Linked DNA regions of Stegostoma tigrinum. The protein of the gene in region 1 interacts with the protein of each later gene in a pairwise test. Links are inferred from orthologs where the notes say so. Each region holds a gene or a part of one and is shown on either strand. Other genes may lie near its edges.

Evidence for each region. The genes of interacting proteins can lie anywhere in the genome.
Region 2: the proteins of glutamate decarboxylase 1 (region 1) and haao interact in a two-hybrid assay, tested with the Homo sapiens proteins (4 studies listed by BioGRID and IntAct). The two-hybrid records come from large-scale screens. The link is inferred for Stegostoma tigrinum from reciprocal best matches to the Homo sapiens genes GAD1 and HAAO.

What each region holds. Positions count from the first base shown.
Region 1 is NC_081360.1:51,746,135-51,753,775, forward strand, and holds the start of glutamate decarboxylase 1, read left to right. Parts: upstream 1-4,620; 5' UTR 4,621-5,386; intron 5,387-5,424; exon of another isoform or gene 5,425-5,536; intron 5,537-5,627; exon of another isoform or gene 5,628-5,714; intron 5,715-6,059; exon of another isoform or gene 6,060-6,144; intron 6,145-6,417; 5' UTR 6,418-6,503; coding exon 6,504-6,585; intron 6,586-7,641.
Region 2 is NC_081362.1:66,108,023-66,115,483, forward strand, and holds the start of haao (3-hydroxyanthranilate 3,4-dioxygenase), read right to left. Parts: upstream 3,008-7,461; 5' UTR 2,836-3,007; exon of another isoform or gene 2,805-2,835; intron 2,727-2,804; 5' UTR 2,693-2,726; coding exon 2,613-2,692; intron 707-2,612; coding exon 628-706; intron 1-627. UniProt on the Homo sapiens protein: Catalyzes the oxidative ring opening of 3-hydroxyanthranilate to 2-amino-3-carboxymuconate semialdehyde, which spontaneously cyclizes to quinolinate.

The DNA of each region.
Region 1 (7,641 bases):
TGATCAATGACAACACAAAGTTTTAGATTAGTGATGGAGCAGAGTGAGGAACCGCCCAATTTGGACAAAGGCTAATGTCAATGCAATAGAAAAAGATCTAGCCTGGGTCAAGTACAACCAAGAAATCTCAGGAAATGTTAATGGGTGATCAATAAGAAGATGTTTCAGGTTCAGGCTAGGTACATTCAAACAAGTTGAAAAGGAAAGTGAATGAAAGTCAAGGTTCCTTGGATGATGAAAGAGATAGGGAAAATTATGAAAAAAATAGGTACAATGCAAATAAATTCTTCATGTAAGAACCAAGTCAAGTGCACAGTATTGAGATATGTAGCGAAGAAGAAAATATGACTGACTGGCAGAAAGTGGATTTGAAAATGGAATGGCAGCTAATGTACAAGGGAGCCCAAAATTATTCGACAGGCATGTAAGTAATAGAAGTCAGAAATGGTTTATTAGGGTTTTAAGAGTGTGATATATGCTTGGCATAACAGTGTAAAGTTAGGTACTTTGTGTTAACATATACTAAGGAAGAAGATATCGACAAAATATTTGTAGGAGAGTGACAATGGATGAATTGGAAATTAATCATATATTTTAAAAATGGCTTAAAAAGAGACAACAGTGAACAGGAGCAAGTAATTGTTTTTCGGACTGAGGATGATCAAAAAGGTGCTACTTAGGATCGGTGTTAGAATCACTGCTTTTTTGATGTGTTTCTGTATACGAACCTAGATATTGAAGTACAGAAAAAAATCAATATCAATAATAGCTGGAAACTTAGACGTATGGACAACAGTGTTGATGACACTAGTGGAATGTGACTGGTCATAGAAACTCTAGCAGAATATGAGACAAGTGGCAGATTGAATTTAATATAGAGAAATGTAAGGTGATTAAATTTGGTGGAAGAAGCAGTAAGAGGCAAAATAGAATTTATGGTACATTTTTAGAGAGTGTATGTGGACAGGGAGACCTGGGGATTCATGTATATTGACCTTTGAAAGTGGAAGTATGTATTGAGAGCACAATAGCAAAGTATATGAGATCTTGGACTTCATAAATGATGCAGAGTCTAGGCCCGAAACGCCAGTTTTTGTGCTCCTGAGATTGCTGCTTGGCCTGCTGTGTTCATCCAGCTCCACACTTTGTTATCTTGGATTCTCCAGCATTTGCAGTTCCCATTATCTCTGAACCAATGTATTTCCTCTAGTTCTAGCTACCACACTTATGCAAGGATGGAAGGTGCAGAGATTTACCAGAATGCTCTTGGGAGAAAAATATTTAGGTTACAAACTGCAAGAGAAGTCAATTTAATGTAGCCAAAGAAAAGCTGTTTGGATTAGCTGATGGTACACGCAACAGTGGGCACAGATTAAGTTTTGGACAAAAGATGCAAGGCCAGTGCATTGAACAGTAATGTCCTGGAAATTGCTATCTCTAATAGTGATGGAAGTAGAGATGATGAATGATTTGAAAGGAAATTAGATGGGCATTATAAAGAAATAATAATTGGGGCATGGGGGTCAGTGTGGAGAAATGGAGCTGATGGGATTACTTTATGGGGAGCAAGGTGTCAATGGGCCACCATGACTTTATGACACAATCACCGACTAGTAGGAGGCTGACGTGGTACTGTAAGGAAATTAACATCTGGGTATACCAGGCTGGCCTTGAAATTTACCGGCAGCACCCGATTTATGGCAAATGAATTGATGAAGTTCCCAGTAAAGATTTTTCTGTACTATATTATTTGATGGAAGCACACGAGTCTGTCCACTAAGACTTCAGCAGTTTGTTTCCCCCAAACTAGCAAATATCGTAGTGAACAAAAATAAAGTTGCTGGAGAAGTTCTGAGGAAGGATCGCTGGACCCGAAACGCTAAGTCTTTTTTTCCTTCACCGACGCTGCCAGACCTGCTGACCTTATCCAGCAACTTTGTTTTTGTTCTCGATTTACAGCATCTGCAGTTCTTTCGGTTTTTATTAAATATGGAGGTGAATCTGGTAATGTGGCGGAGGAGCCGGATTGGCAACTCCAGCTGTGCTGAAGGTAAAAACTGGGACTATCTTAGAGTTTTTACACATCACAGTCCAACTGAATCCTGCACAAACCTATGGCTAAATTGTCATTGGATCCTCTGAAAATGTTCCAAAAAAAACTTACAATGCCTTTCCTCTTGAAAACGTAAAACTTCCTGCCCCACTCCCATAACATTAGAATTAACCACAGGGAACAATCATTACTTCAACAGAATGTCTGGCTTAGTTCAACAGGAAAGTAATTAACAGTTTCAGGAATTGAGCATTGCATTCCACAGCCAGCAGCTTCAGTCAGGAGATTGCTGCTACTGCGCTCTAAGGACAATATAAACCGTACCGTCTTCTAGAAGCTTTTTCTGAAGGGTCTTGGCCTGAAACGTCAGCTTTCCTGCCCCTCTGATCCTGCTTGGCCTGCTGTGTTCATCCAGCTCTACACCGTGTTTATCTCGTCTTCTAAAAGCCGTGGGCAAGCCAACGTCTGTCATGATTAGTTGTTCTCCTACGACAGGGGAACCTCTGCACTCTCACTAAAATTATTGACTTTAGCCATGTCTTGAAATTCTCTCCGGTGATCCCCATGTCACCTTAAGAGTCTGAAATGCCATTTCTGGAAGTCCACGATGGACATAATAGACTGGCAGAATGTTGTTAAGTAAAATATTACAGTTGCAAAACATTTGAAATTCCAATTAATTGATATTTTTGAGATACACGGCGACATGCTTATAACTTTAGGGAATTGTAATTCACCTGTAGATAGGTGCCCCTTCGAAGTGTAGGGAAATGCTAATGGCTTAAAGTTACCAATGTATAATTATTGCCGACATTGATACTCATGTGCTGATATTTAAAACAGCTTTAAACAAAAACAAAAAACTTGGATCTAAGTAAGCGATTAGAATTTCATTCCAGGTTTGCAGAATGTCATGATGGGCGATACAAGTAACTCCCTTAGTTGGGAGAGCGGATTTAGTTTAACAGAATACCAATTCCATCAAAAACGATTTTGTAATTATCAATAAGATTTTCAGACTACATTTAGCAACACCATGCATACATAAACACACACTATTTGGTCGCAGTGTCGTCTGTAGTTGAAAATGTAAATAAAATGCAGGACGATTCGCTATCAAGATTTACTGCAAGGGCTCATGTTTTAAAATTGAAATACAACCTCGACTTCAGTCTCGTCCATTTCCCATATTGTTTGAAACATTGGAAGTGTATTAATTTAGTCCCCCAATTTCCAAAGCCCATGAGTGCCATCGTCTCAATGTCTTATGTTTAATTGTCTGACATGGTTCCGGCGTCAATGCATCATCCATTGTTTGCGTTTTTTGCAAAGCAACAAATCTGTTAGTATTTCCCTAACTTCTCAATTTCAGGACTTAAAATCCATATACTTTAAGTATTTTCTAATTTGCTTTCTGCCGTGTGACTTCAATAGTCTTTGCTTCAGTGTCTCGCCGCGAGATAATTTCAATATTTGTGCAGCGAAACATGTAAAGTGCTGCAATTGTGTAATGGAATCGTTCATTTGTAGATTCAAACTTTGCATCATGGACCTATGCGACTGTATTTCCGGAAATCTGAGTGGTGTGGCAATGTTCTCCTTAACTGAACATTTTTTTCGCTACAAATATACACATTGGTTTTATTTTCTCAATTTGAAAAAGTCGATAACGTGAAATAATAATTACATTCCTCAGTAAAGCAAACATAAACAGAATAGTACCACGTTGCGAAGAATTAGTCTAAATTTGAGAGAACAACAGGTGCCCTGATACTTCCACGACAGAAACATTCGCTATTCACCTCGTCTAGGATCATTCCTTTGTCACATGGTCGTTAACCCTGCGTTTTCATTCATCATCAGCCATATGGGTGTGTGGGGTGAAGTGTGTGGTTTGTGGCTGGAGGAAGGGGGTTTGTTATCGTCTGCATGCAATCATACAGGCTGCTGTTCGCTTGCTGCCGATTTGGGAAAACTCTTTTTTAAATCTCTACCATAATGCATTGCACTATGTCTCCCACAAATCGTCAAATGAAATTGGATTTCTCATCTAACATTGTTTTGCATTTATTTGTTTATGTCACGGCCTTCGATAACAACTGCCACATGCTTCCCATAATAACTGATTTCGAAATCCAGTATATGCTGTCGTGCCCGCTTCGAGGCATCGCCGCCTTTCTGATTTTTCCCCCAATGTAATCCTCACACAATCCTACACGCACTTCATTGCAATTGAAACGCTGACGTATTGATCTTCCCACCCTGCTATTTCCTTCGTGTCTCCGCCCGCCCCTCCTTTCACCGCTGTTTAAAACATAACGCCCTGCTTAAAAAGTCATAATTTGCTAACTGCCGGGAATCTCACAGCTCTGCATGTGTTCTTATAAATTTTTTCTGTCGTAAACAAAGTGTAACGAAAGTGCCTGTGAATAAAGAGGCGTCAGCAGACCTGTAGTGTAGGTGTCTCTCCAAGGTGCACCTTACTATCGATTTGACGAGCTGGGACGCCCTCTGCTGTTGGGTCTTGGTTCCTACCGTGCTCGAAAACAATGGTCACAAAGCAATCGCGAACAAACCCACAATGTCTGGCGTTTAATTTTTTAATGACACCTAAATTGGGCATGAACATGGGGGGAGGGGAAGAAAGGAAATTTTATTCTTAAATCTGTTGGATTATGTGTGAAATAGAGTGGATGTACGTTGACAGAGCTTCCTTCTGTCGTGAACAGAAGAAAAGCTGCACAGATTCCTTAAGAAGTTAAGATTGCCACAACCAGCAGAGAACCGGTTCATAGTTTCAAAGCTGTGCTGCACAGTCCCCAGTCACTTAGGTTCCTTTCGTGTCAGAAATTCTAGACTCTGCGGTTAAAATGTAAACCTATTGTTATAGACTCCAACCTTGCTGAGATGCACCTGCTCTCCGTGATCAGGATTCAGAAGCAAGGACTCAAACCCTGAAGGCATCAAGAAGTACCTTCTGAAAAAGTCACGTCACTCCAGAGGAACGGTAGCGGGCGGTAGATTTCTATAGACAAAGCAACCTGCTCAATCTTGTCATGACACATTTTGGAGTAGAGGAGATGATGTGTGAGTCATTCGCGCGTCGTGTCAGATAAACGGACGATTCACACTTTTAAAACAGCAAATCAAACGTACTTCTGAAAAAAAAGGTCATGCTGAACGGAATTTTTGTACTCTATTTATATTCAGACGTCGTTTCCCTTGGAGTATTAAAAGCGCCCTTCAGGCTGACTAAAACTTGCATGTAAGGATCTAATTTAGTTGTCGGGAGTCAGATGGTCGAACCTGCTACCTGGGCGTCTTCACAAGGCGGTAAGGTCCTCGTCATCGTTCACCTGTAACATGCCATTTCATTAGAGACTACCTTTTCCTGTACCGGTCATTTTGATCAAGTCCACTGCCAACTTTCCCGTGCCCCTGTGTATTTATGGAATTGTGGTTGGGAGTTTAAAATCCCAGCGGGTAAGTGAAACCGGTCTTAGAAAACATGGAAACGTCCGATAGCGTTGGGTTTGAACGTGAAGCACATTGTGTCCCGATGCCATCGAGTGGTCCAAACGTTGTCAGGGCGAATTACATGTTGAGTAATCGTGCTATGGAAACTCGCTCGTACTGTGGATTTTGCTCTATTTCTGGATGGGTAGTTACAATTTAATGATGTGTAATTGTGGTGTAATCAAGGGGGATTTGTGCTTTGCGTCATGTCGGTTCGTTTCATGTTATGATTTCCAACCGAAAGGCTCTCACTGACCATTGCATTGTCTATTTTATAGTTTGGTTAAATCGTTTCGGACAGTGTTAGGATCACATTGAATGTAACAATGCTGCCTGGTCCTGTTCGGTACAGTTGGTTAATTCATCAATATTTTGCATAAATAAATGTAAACTGACAATGACCATAACTCCATTGTTGACTGACAATTGTTGTAACCTATGTGGGGAGATGGCACTGTCCTACTGGACCGCGTACCGTTCAAATGCATATTGTAGGTTGCCTAGCGGTGAAGCAAAGGCAATAGAAATTATTTCAGTCGATGCAGTTCGCGAGATCTTTGCCGGCGTTACAACTGGTAAACAGCTCGCAAAGATTGTTTGATATCTTTCCACCTTTACTGATTTCTGTGCTGCTTTGCGATTACGCGCGACATACCGGTGCCAGCGCAATCCACAGCTCTTCCCAACGTCCATCAGAGCACTTCAGCGCCCTGAATGCTAATAAAGTGAAATGTTTGAAAGCGCACGACCGTGCTCGAAGCCCATCGTCCTCACACACGCACGCACACAGACACAAGCGGGCTTAAAGCCAAACTAACAAGGCTGTCCTGTTATTATTTTTCTTACAGAAAGCAGTGTCTTTACGTTGAGAAGAAAGGATTCGAAAGGAGGCGTCAGCCCCAGCTAAGCAAAGAGCTCGCGTCTGTCAGAACCGATGGCATCTTCTGCTCCTTCATCTTCCGGAGCGAGTCAAGACTCCAATTCAACAAATTTACGGCCGGCGGATAGAAGCACAAGTAAGCGATTGCTGCTTCATTTTTAGACAACGCAAGAAGATGACTAAAGCAGCTAATGGTTATTCTGTAGGCAGAAAGTACTCCCAGAAAATTCATAAATGAATAAAACTGCACGTTGACTACTGCTAAAGCGCCTTTTAACATCACCTGTACTGTTACCTGGTTAAAACGTTTCACAATGGGGTCCTTAGCGTTCCAGGCTTATTAAAGTGCTGATAGTTTATTCAATTGTATTTTTTTCTCTTTGTTTACAACAGCTGGAAGCTGCGATTCTTTTTCACACCCGTGGAAATGAGCCTACAGCTGTATGTAAAATAAGTCTTTTAAGCAATAATTTCAACGCGGTTTAGCAATTTATGAAAATACACTTCGCTCATTATCGCAACAGACCCTTTTAGCGCAGAGTCTGAGTGCAAATGTAATTATAGGAGAAAGAGAAAGCGCCTGATGCAGCTAATTGTAGCTCTTATGAACTCGCTAATAGCTGCGACGGCACAGAGCGAACGAAAGCGAGCTATTGAACTGGCAGGGATGAGAATGGCGCTGATGGATCTAATCAGCTTCCCACACTGCCTCAACAATTTTGACATCAGGTACAAAAAAATAGTCGAAGACATAATCGACACTGACAAAGAAAAACTTACCAGAAATAAAGACGGGCATTCCGATCATTACACGTGTAATGTCTCTGCCCTCAAGGCTTTCAGACGCTCCCAGGCGCATTAATTCTTTCCATCTGCCAAGGCGGACAGGCTAACCTAGAATGCGTTTGTATTTCTGACAATCCATTTCAAACTTTAGAATCGTGAGATTCATATTGCCACACTTTGATTATTTCAATGTCTTCATGTTTTCTTATACATACACATATATGTTGATGTGTGTATATCACGTCTTATATATAACAATATACACGCATTGAAACAATGTAGTCGTGAAGTTCACACGTTCGTGTTTGTCCTTGGGAAAGCGATTGTGTAGGAAAAATTCCGGCACACAATTTATGATTTAGCCCAATTTAATTCTACTTGGCAAAACCAGGTTTTTAAAGAGAAT
Region 2 (7,461 bases), on another chromosome or scaffold:
ATCTTGGATTCTCCAGCATCTGCAGTTCCCATTATCTCAGATATGGAGGAATTATTTCACTCAAAGGGTGTTAATCTGGGAAATTCACCATCTCAGAGTACAAAGGATGTCGAGACATGAATAAATTTAAGGAGCAGATAGACAGATTTTTAGTTAGTAATTGTCTAAGGGTTAAGGGGAGCAGACAGGAATATGGAGTTAAGGCCAAGATAAGATCAACCATAATTATATTAAATGGTTGAGCAGGCTCAAGAGACTGAATTGCCTACTCCCGCTGCTATGTCCTGTTGAATGCTTCTGATTCTGCCCTGCAAGTCCAAATGGCCCACAGAGCAGCATAAATACAGAAGATATCATCACTAAATGACAGATCAGCCAAAGGAAGAGTTAGAGAGAATAAACAGAAAGTTTCTGAAAATCAAAATGTAGCCCTCAAGAAGATCGCAAAAACCCTCAGGAGTACAAAAGCCATTTTGACCCCTGGTGAGAGTGTTGGGTGAATACAGGAGTGGGATAGGTTCACACTTAAATTCCACTTCAAATAAAGTGGAACGAGAAGGAAATTGAATACTTTCTGATCTCTTATATTCCTGTATGTACAGTGAACACTGAATAATTATGCTTTACCTCTTCTCCCTCTTCTATGTGGTAATCTTTCCTTTCATTAGGTCCTCCAACAAACATAACTTTTAACTGGCCACTGTGCCTGAAAAACATTATTATAAGAATAGTATTAGCCAAAAGAATTCAGATTTGAAAAAGTAATTCAGAAGTAACATGTTAAAATATGCATCACGATAATGATGTTGTTTTAGTGAGCATTGATTTACATGATCAATTTAATGCACTAATAAATAATGTTATGACAATGTATCCTTTCCGTCATTGTATCAGCTCTTTCAAGTAATCTTCAATGATCATTTGACCCAGTTGTTTCTGAATCTATCTACTTGGTAAAGGAGCTTGCACCTGTATTTTACTAGATAAAAGTTTACTTTTCATCTTCACTACTTCAATGTTCCTCCCAATTCTTGTGAAATGCAACTTAGATGGATGATATCAAAATAACTTGTTAATTTCTAATTAAAGAAAATAACTCATCCTTCACAATCTCAGATGTTCCAAACTTAATGTGTAGTTAGTATTACGCCAAGGGGAAGCATAGTAGCCCTCAAGAATTGCAAAGATAACTGCCCTTGCCTTCTTTAAATTGTGCTAAGATTCTGTTATTCTGCCTGCAAAGACAAATGGGCTTTAACTTAATGTCTTATCCAAAAACTACCTTCACTAAGGATGCAGCACTCTTACAAGTACACCTGTGCTTCACTTAAGTGCCACACTATATTCTTTAGAGGGAGCAGCAGGATTGGAATTGATATGTTGCTAACTCAGCAGTGAACATGCTGTCACTGAGCAAAGAGATAACAAGGTGTAGAGCTGGATGAACACAGCAGGCCAAGCAGCATCAGAGGAGCACAAAAGCTGATTTTTCAGGCCGAGACCCTTCATCAGAAATGGAAGAGGGGGAAGGGGGTTTTGAAATAAATAGGGAAAGAGGGGGAGGTGGATCGAAGATAGAGGAGAAGATAGGTGGAGAGGAGACAGACAAGTTAAAGAGGCGGGGATGGAGCCAGTAAAGGTGAGTGTAGGTGGGGAGAGGATAGGTCAGTAAATTGGGGATGATCGGTTCCATAGGCAGGTACTAAAAGGTGGTGTGGCTGTAGTACCTGGTTTGCTTCAGGACGTGGTCGAGCAGTTTCAAGGCCGAAGAGATTACAAGAGAGCTGCAGTGGAAGAGAGCTCCCCTCAGGTTTTTCCGGAGGGAGGAGGGTAACTTCTTCAGGTTAGGCATCCCTAGAAGAGGCTTCCCAGTGATATTGAATGTGGCACAGTTTGCAACATCCCATTATTTAGTGTGTTACAATTTTCTGTGACATTCTTCACGCTCTATGATAAGACTTAAATATTCAGGCTGTAGGTACCGAGTTACGAACTGAGTTCAGAATTAAGGAATATTATGAGGGCAAATGCTTTTGTAACCAATGCGTGCCTGAAAAACGGTAGCAAAACTAAGACTTAGAGGAAATCCAAGCTTTTTCCAGTCTTTACTGTCAAAATCATTCCATAACTACACGCCTAGCGTCTTTTATAAACCAACATCGAAGGTTTAATGTCAAGGCCTGTCTTTCAAAGGGGCCGAAAACTGCTAACGATTATTGGAGAATCCCTGCTAAATGCAAAGGAGCGGTCAAGTGGGACCGGCGGCAGGCAAAATAGGATCGCACTGGGCACTTGCTTCAAATATTCAACTTCCACTCACTCACTGCTTTCCCCATCCTGGAAAAGGTCAGAAGTCACACGACAGCAGGTTAAAACCCAACAGGTTTATTTGGGAACACAAGCTTTCGGAGCCTCAGTCCTTCTTCAGGTGAGACAGGCAGTATCAGAGACAGAATTTACGAATAAAAGATCAAAGATTCTCCATTAATGAAAACTTTGTGTTGGGCTATAACCTGGTGTCGTGTGATTTCTGACCTTGTCCATCCCAGGCCAAGGCCGGCACCTCCACATCGTGCCCCTTCAGGAAAGGCACGCCCGGGAAAGTGACTTACATGAGCTTATTGCAGACCGGGGGGTTGAAATACTTCTTGTTTTCTTCGATCCATTTGTTAACGTTGTAAAACAGCCCCATCGTTTGGATATCGTGAGTTTAGTGATGTTAGCACCTGAGAAATATTAAATAACATGCAAGTCTTGATATCATCTTACCCAATGCATCGTAATAACTCCCTGCCTATTTTCCTAAGCAGCCTGTTGTGAGATATTATTACATACCTTTGGCGCAGCAAGTCCTGGTGGTGATCTTTGAAATTCACACAGAAGCAGGGGCAAGTGATTTCAGACTCGCTTTATTGACCACGACGAGGGGTGGGCCCTGGTAAACGCTTTTGATTGGAAATTTATAAGCTGGGGAGAAGGCTGGCCTTTTAGAAGAACCTGGAATAAATTTCAACAAGGTGCCCGTGTTCGAGACATAAACTTCCAGCAGTCGCCACCTTACCAAATAGTCCCACAATTAGGAGTACGCTGCTGCATGTGGAATAGTTAAGGGCTACGTATTTTATAGAAAGCTACAGCACACGGGTCACATGATTATCGCAAGTCCTAAGTATGCATTGTCCTTACAAACCTGAGAAAAACCATGTATTTCTTCAAACGTGGCCTGGGGCCCTGTGAATTCTGCCTCGAGGAAATCGGGTACAGAAAGATGAGGGTAAAGATGGAAATGAGAAGCATTAAAGAAAAACAGAGACCCTTCTGAAGAAGGGTACCGACCCCAAACGTCAACGTTCTCCTACTCTGATGCTGCCTGGCCTGCTGTGCTCCTCCAGCTCCATACTGTGTTACCTCTGACTTCAGCATCGACAGTTCCTACTATCAGTTTTTTTTTAAAAAAAGTTGCCATCACTCAAAATGAACAAGTCTCTCAGACCAGAAAGGATACTCTCAGCCGTGAGACAACAGATGTTCTGACCACAATCTTTCAGTTCTCTATGGTTCCGTGTGTGATGTCAGCGAGAGGACTGGACAGTGATAAATTTTACAGTCCTGTTCCGAAATGTATGCATACAACTACAGACCAGATATCAATGGTTGGAAAGTCTCCTTGACAACATTGGCCAGATCCAAATTAAAAATGACATCCAGCAGAGATTTACTGAAGTAGTGCCTGACAAACCAGACTGAATTATTTGATGAAACAGTGGAGAAGGTTAATGAAGGTAATGCAGTAGTTGTGTGTATCTGGACATACAACAAAACACATTTGATACAAGTTCTACATAACAGACTTAATCAAAAAAAGTAAATGACAATAAAGGGATGGTATGTAATTAGCCAAGGTATAGCCATTAGAGATTAATAGTGAATGGATTTATTTTAATATTAGAGGCAAGTATTTGTGGATGTTCTGGGGTTTAGTAATTGCTTTCTTGTTTGGTAAAATTATCTAGATTTGGGTATCAGGAGAACAATTTCAAACTTTGTGATTTGATACAAAACATAGCAACATTAGTAAATAGTCATCAGGATAATAACGAAGTTCAGGAGAACGTAGACTGATGAAATGGACAGACGCTAGCAAATAAAACTTAATGTGGTAATTGTGAAGGGATTTACTTTGGGAGAAACTACATCAACAAGTAACATTACACGAATGACATCGTTCTAAAAAGACAAGATGTGTAAGAGATGAGAAGAGAGAGTTTAGGTTTATTCCTATGATGGGGGAAAGGTATGGTATATGAATGTAATTCTCTCTGTGTCACAGAAGTAGAAGGTAAGAGATGTAGTAGATATGTGTCTATGACAGATGTCAAGTAGACAATACAATTGATAATCAGACATGATATAGGAATTTCAGACGGAAATCAAAAAGAAAATATGCGAAGCAAAGAAATAGTATGAGAAGATACCAACAGTGAACATAAATCGTTGAATGTTTATGCCCAGTTTTCTTAAGTAAATCCCTTCACAATTACTTTAAGTTTAAAGAGTGTTTTTTCTGCTGTGTTGCCAACACATTTAAGTGATTATAATGATGCTTAATTCCTAAATATAGCAACTTGAGTCTTTTAGCTTCTCAGGCTAGATATTTTGTTAATTTGAGAACTTTCACCTTTCATCAAAGGAAGTAACTTCAGGTGTTAGCTATCAATTGCACTAAATATTCAGCTTTATGATTTTTAGCTGTGATGAGACTTTTGTGGTCTTTAGTTTTTTTCAGTATTTTCCACCATTATGAAGTTTCCAACTTCTACGCACAGGCTTAGTACTGTTAATGCTTCAGCAGCCTTTTTAAATTATCAGTTTGCTGCCTTCACAGAAGCTTACCGGCTCTGCGTACTTTTAAGTTGCCAAATTTTTCTTATTTCATTTGATTTTCTTACTGGAATGATTTTGTTCTTTTTCGTCCTTGGATGTCAGTGGCTTTCGTAGGGCTGAAAGTTTCTTCAGAAGACCGCCATTGTTAGCATTTTATATATGAGAATGGTGCCCACGTGTTGCTGCCATAGTATGTTGTGCTAATTTCCACCAGTATCAGCTGATATGTTGTAGTTAGATTCACTGCACCAATCCTTCTAAATGATATTAGTCTAAATTGCTGATATCAAAGGAGAAGAATGCCCACAAAGTTTTTGGACACAAGAGAGACTCAGTCTTGATAACCTGAATAGCTGTATTACAAATTGCATCTGAGTTACATGTTAGCCCTTTGTGAGACCTCAGGGAAGACTTAAGAGTACACATGGAGGTTTACTGAACTCACACCTTAGAAAACTGAAACACATTGGTTAGCTTCTTCCAAGTAAAGTCCTTTTATCTTAATGGACAGAACTTCTCTCTCAATGTTAGTTAGACTGTTAAGGTGTGAATTGGCTTACACAATGCACTCTGGAAATGGCCTCCTGTATTGAAAAGCATTTATCTTTCACCGGTGGGTGATACAGATTTAGAACTCTGCTTAAAAGGTTCACAAGAGGCAAAAACCCTCACCACATCTACAATTCATATACCACAGGGTTACAGACCAAAACTTGGGATTGGATGAGATTGAATGGCTCTATTACAATCAAATGGGTTGAATGGCCTACTTTTGATGTTATAAATCTGTTACACAAAACAAACCTTCTTTGGTTTCTCTTGGAATGCCACATCCTACTGTCAACAGGCTTGGCAGTATTACAGAGATAACAAAGTGTGGAGCTGGATGAACACAGCAGGCCAAGCAGCATCTTAGAAACACAAAAGCTGACATTTCGGGCCTAGGTCAAGGGCCAAACCGTCAGCTTTTGTGCTCCTAAGATGTTGCTTGGCCTGCTGTGTTCATCCAGCTCCACACTTTGTTATCTCGGATTCTCCAGCATTGGCAGTTCCCATTATCTCTTGGCAGTATTATATGTCATGTATCATCTCATAGCCAAAAACTCAGACACGAAACAGGAGGAGAGAGTGAAGTAGCCTCCACATTATAGACATTGCAACCCTCTTACTCCCCTTCTCCATTGTATGCATTGCTGCCCCCCCCCCCCCCCCCCGTCGTCGTCACAGCAATCCCCTCCCCTGTCACTGTAACACCCTTCCTCATTGTGGAGCCCTTCTCCCCACTTGTAGATGTTGTAGACCACCTTACTGCATCCATTGTCGACAAGCCAGACCGCCCTCACCCACATTGTAGACAACCCAGCCCCCCCCCCCACTCATTGCAGGCACATTCTCCCCTCCAATGTAGACATTCCAGACCACTCCTCTGAACTGCTGAACCCTCATACCTACATTTTCAACAATGCACACTGCTTCTCCCCAATTTTGACACTGTTACCAGCTGCTCGCTCACTTTGTAGGCATTGTGTAGCGCTCCTCCCTCTCACTGGACACATTGCAGCCACTTCTCCCCCCCCCCCCCCCCCCGATAGTAGACATTGCAGCCTCCTCTTCCCCCCACTGGAAACGCTGCAGCCCCCTCCTCATTCCCCCTCCCCCCCCGCACTGGAAACGCTGCAACCCCCTCCCTCACCCCTATTGGAAACACTGCAATCTCCTCCATTTGCCCGATGCAAACTCTATTTTCCTCACACTGTCCCCGTGTGCTCACTTCTCTCGATTACAGACTACCGTGTGTCGCACCCTCTTGTAATGGGGCGAGAGTTACGGCTTCCCGCTCCGACCCCTTTTCCTTTTATTTTTCGGGGTGCGGCCGGAAATGAAAGTCAACTGAGAATCCGGTACATTTTACATTTCCAGAATCAGCACCACAAATTCGCTGTTACGGTATTAACGTTTGTTATTTTTCCTCTCCGTCTGTCCACCTTCTGCATTCGCAGAGGCCTGAAGCCTGGGAGACGAGAGAGACTGACTCTCCCCACTACAGGCCGAACGCGGTACGGTGAAGCCTGGCCTGCAGCTGGGCAGATAACCGCCGCTCAGCAGCGGCTCGTGAAAGCCGCTCGTGACTGTTGGTGGGGGGAATGATTGGGAAAGGAAACGGAACGAAAAGCGAACTGTCTCCACCCTTCCCCTCTCCCCCCGGGCCGAGGGTAGATGGGACATTTCTCGGACGTTGATGTCAGAGCTCCAGTGGCGCAATCGGTTAGCGCGCGGTACTTATATGACAGTACAGAGTGAGCCATGCCGAGGTTGTGAGTTCGAGCCTCACCTGGAGCACATGTTTTATAGGCAACCAGAAAGAGAAATAAAAACACCTCTCCCTCCACTTACACCATACCAACCTCGCTCCAAAAATTAATTACTGACTCTAACGAAAACTCACTGTTTTTGCGTGAAGAATCATTTTGAAAGTGATACATAAATCAATCAGCGACTAAAGAATAAGATCAATTTTTTTCTCCCGAAATTACAATATTATCGTCGTAATATTAAACGTATTAATAAACATGTTAT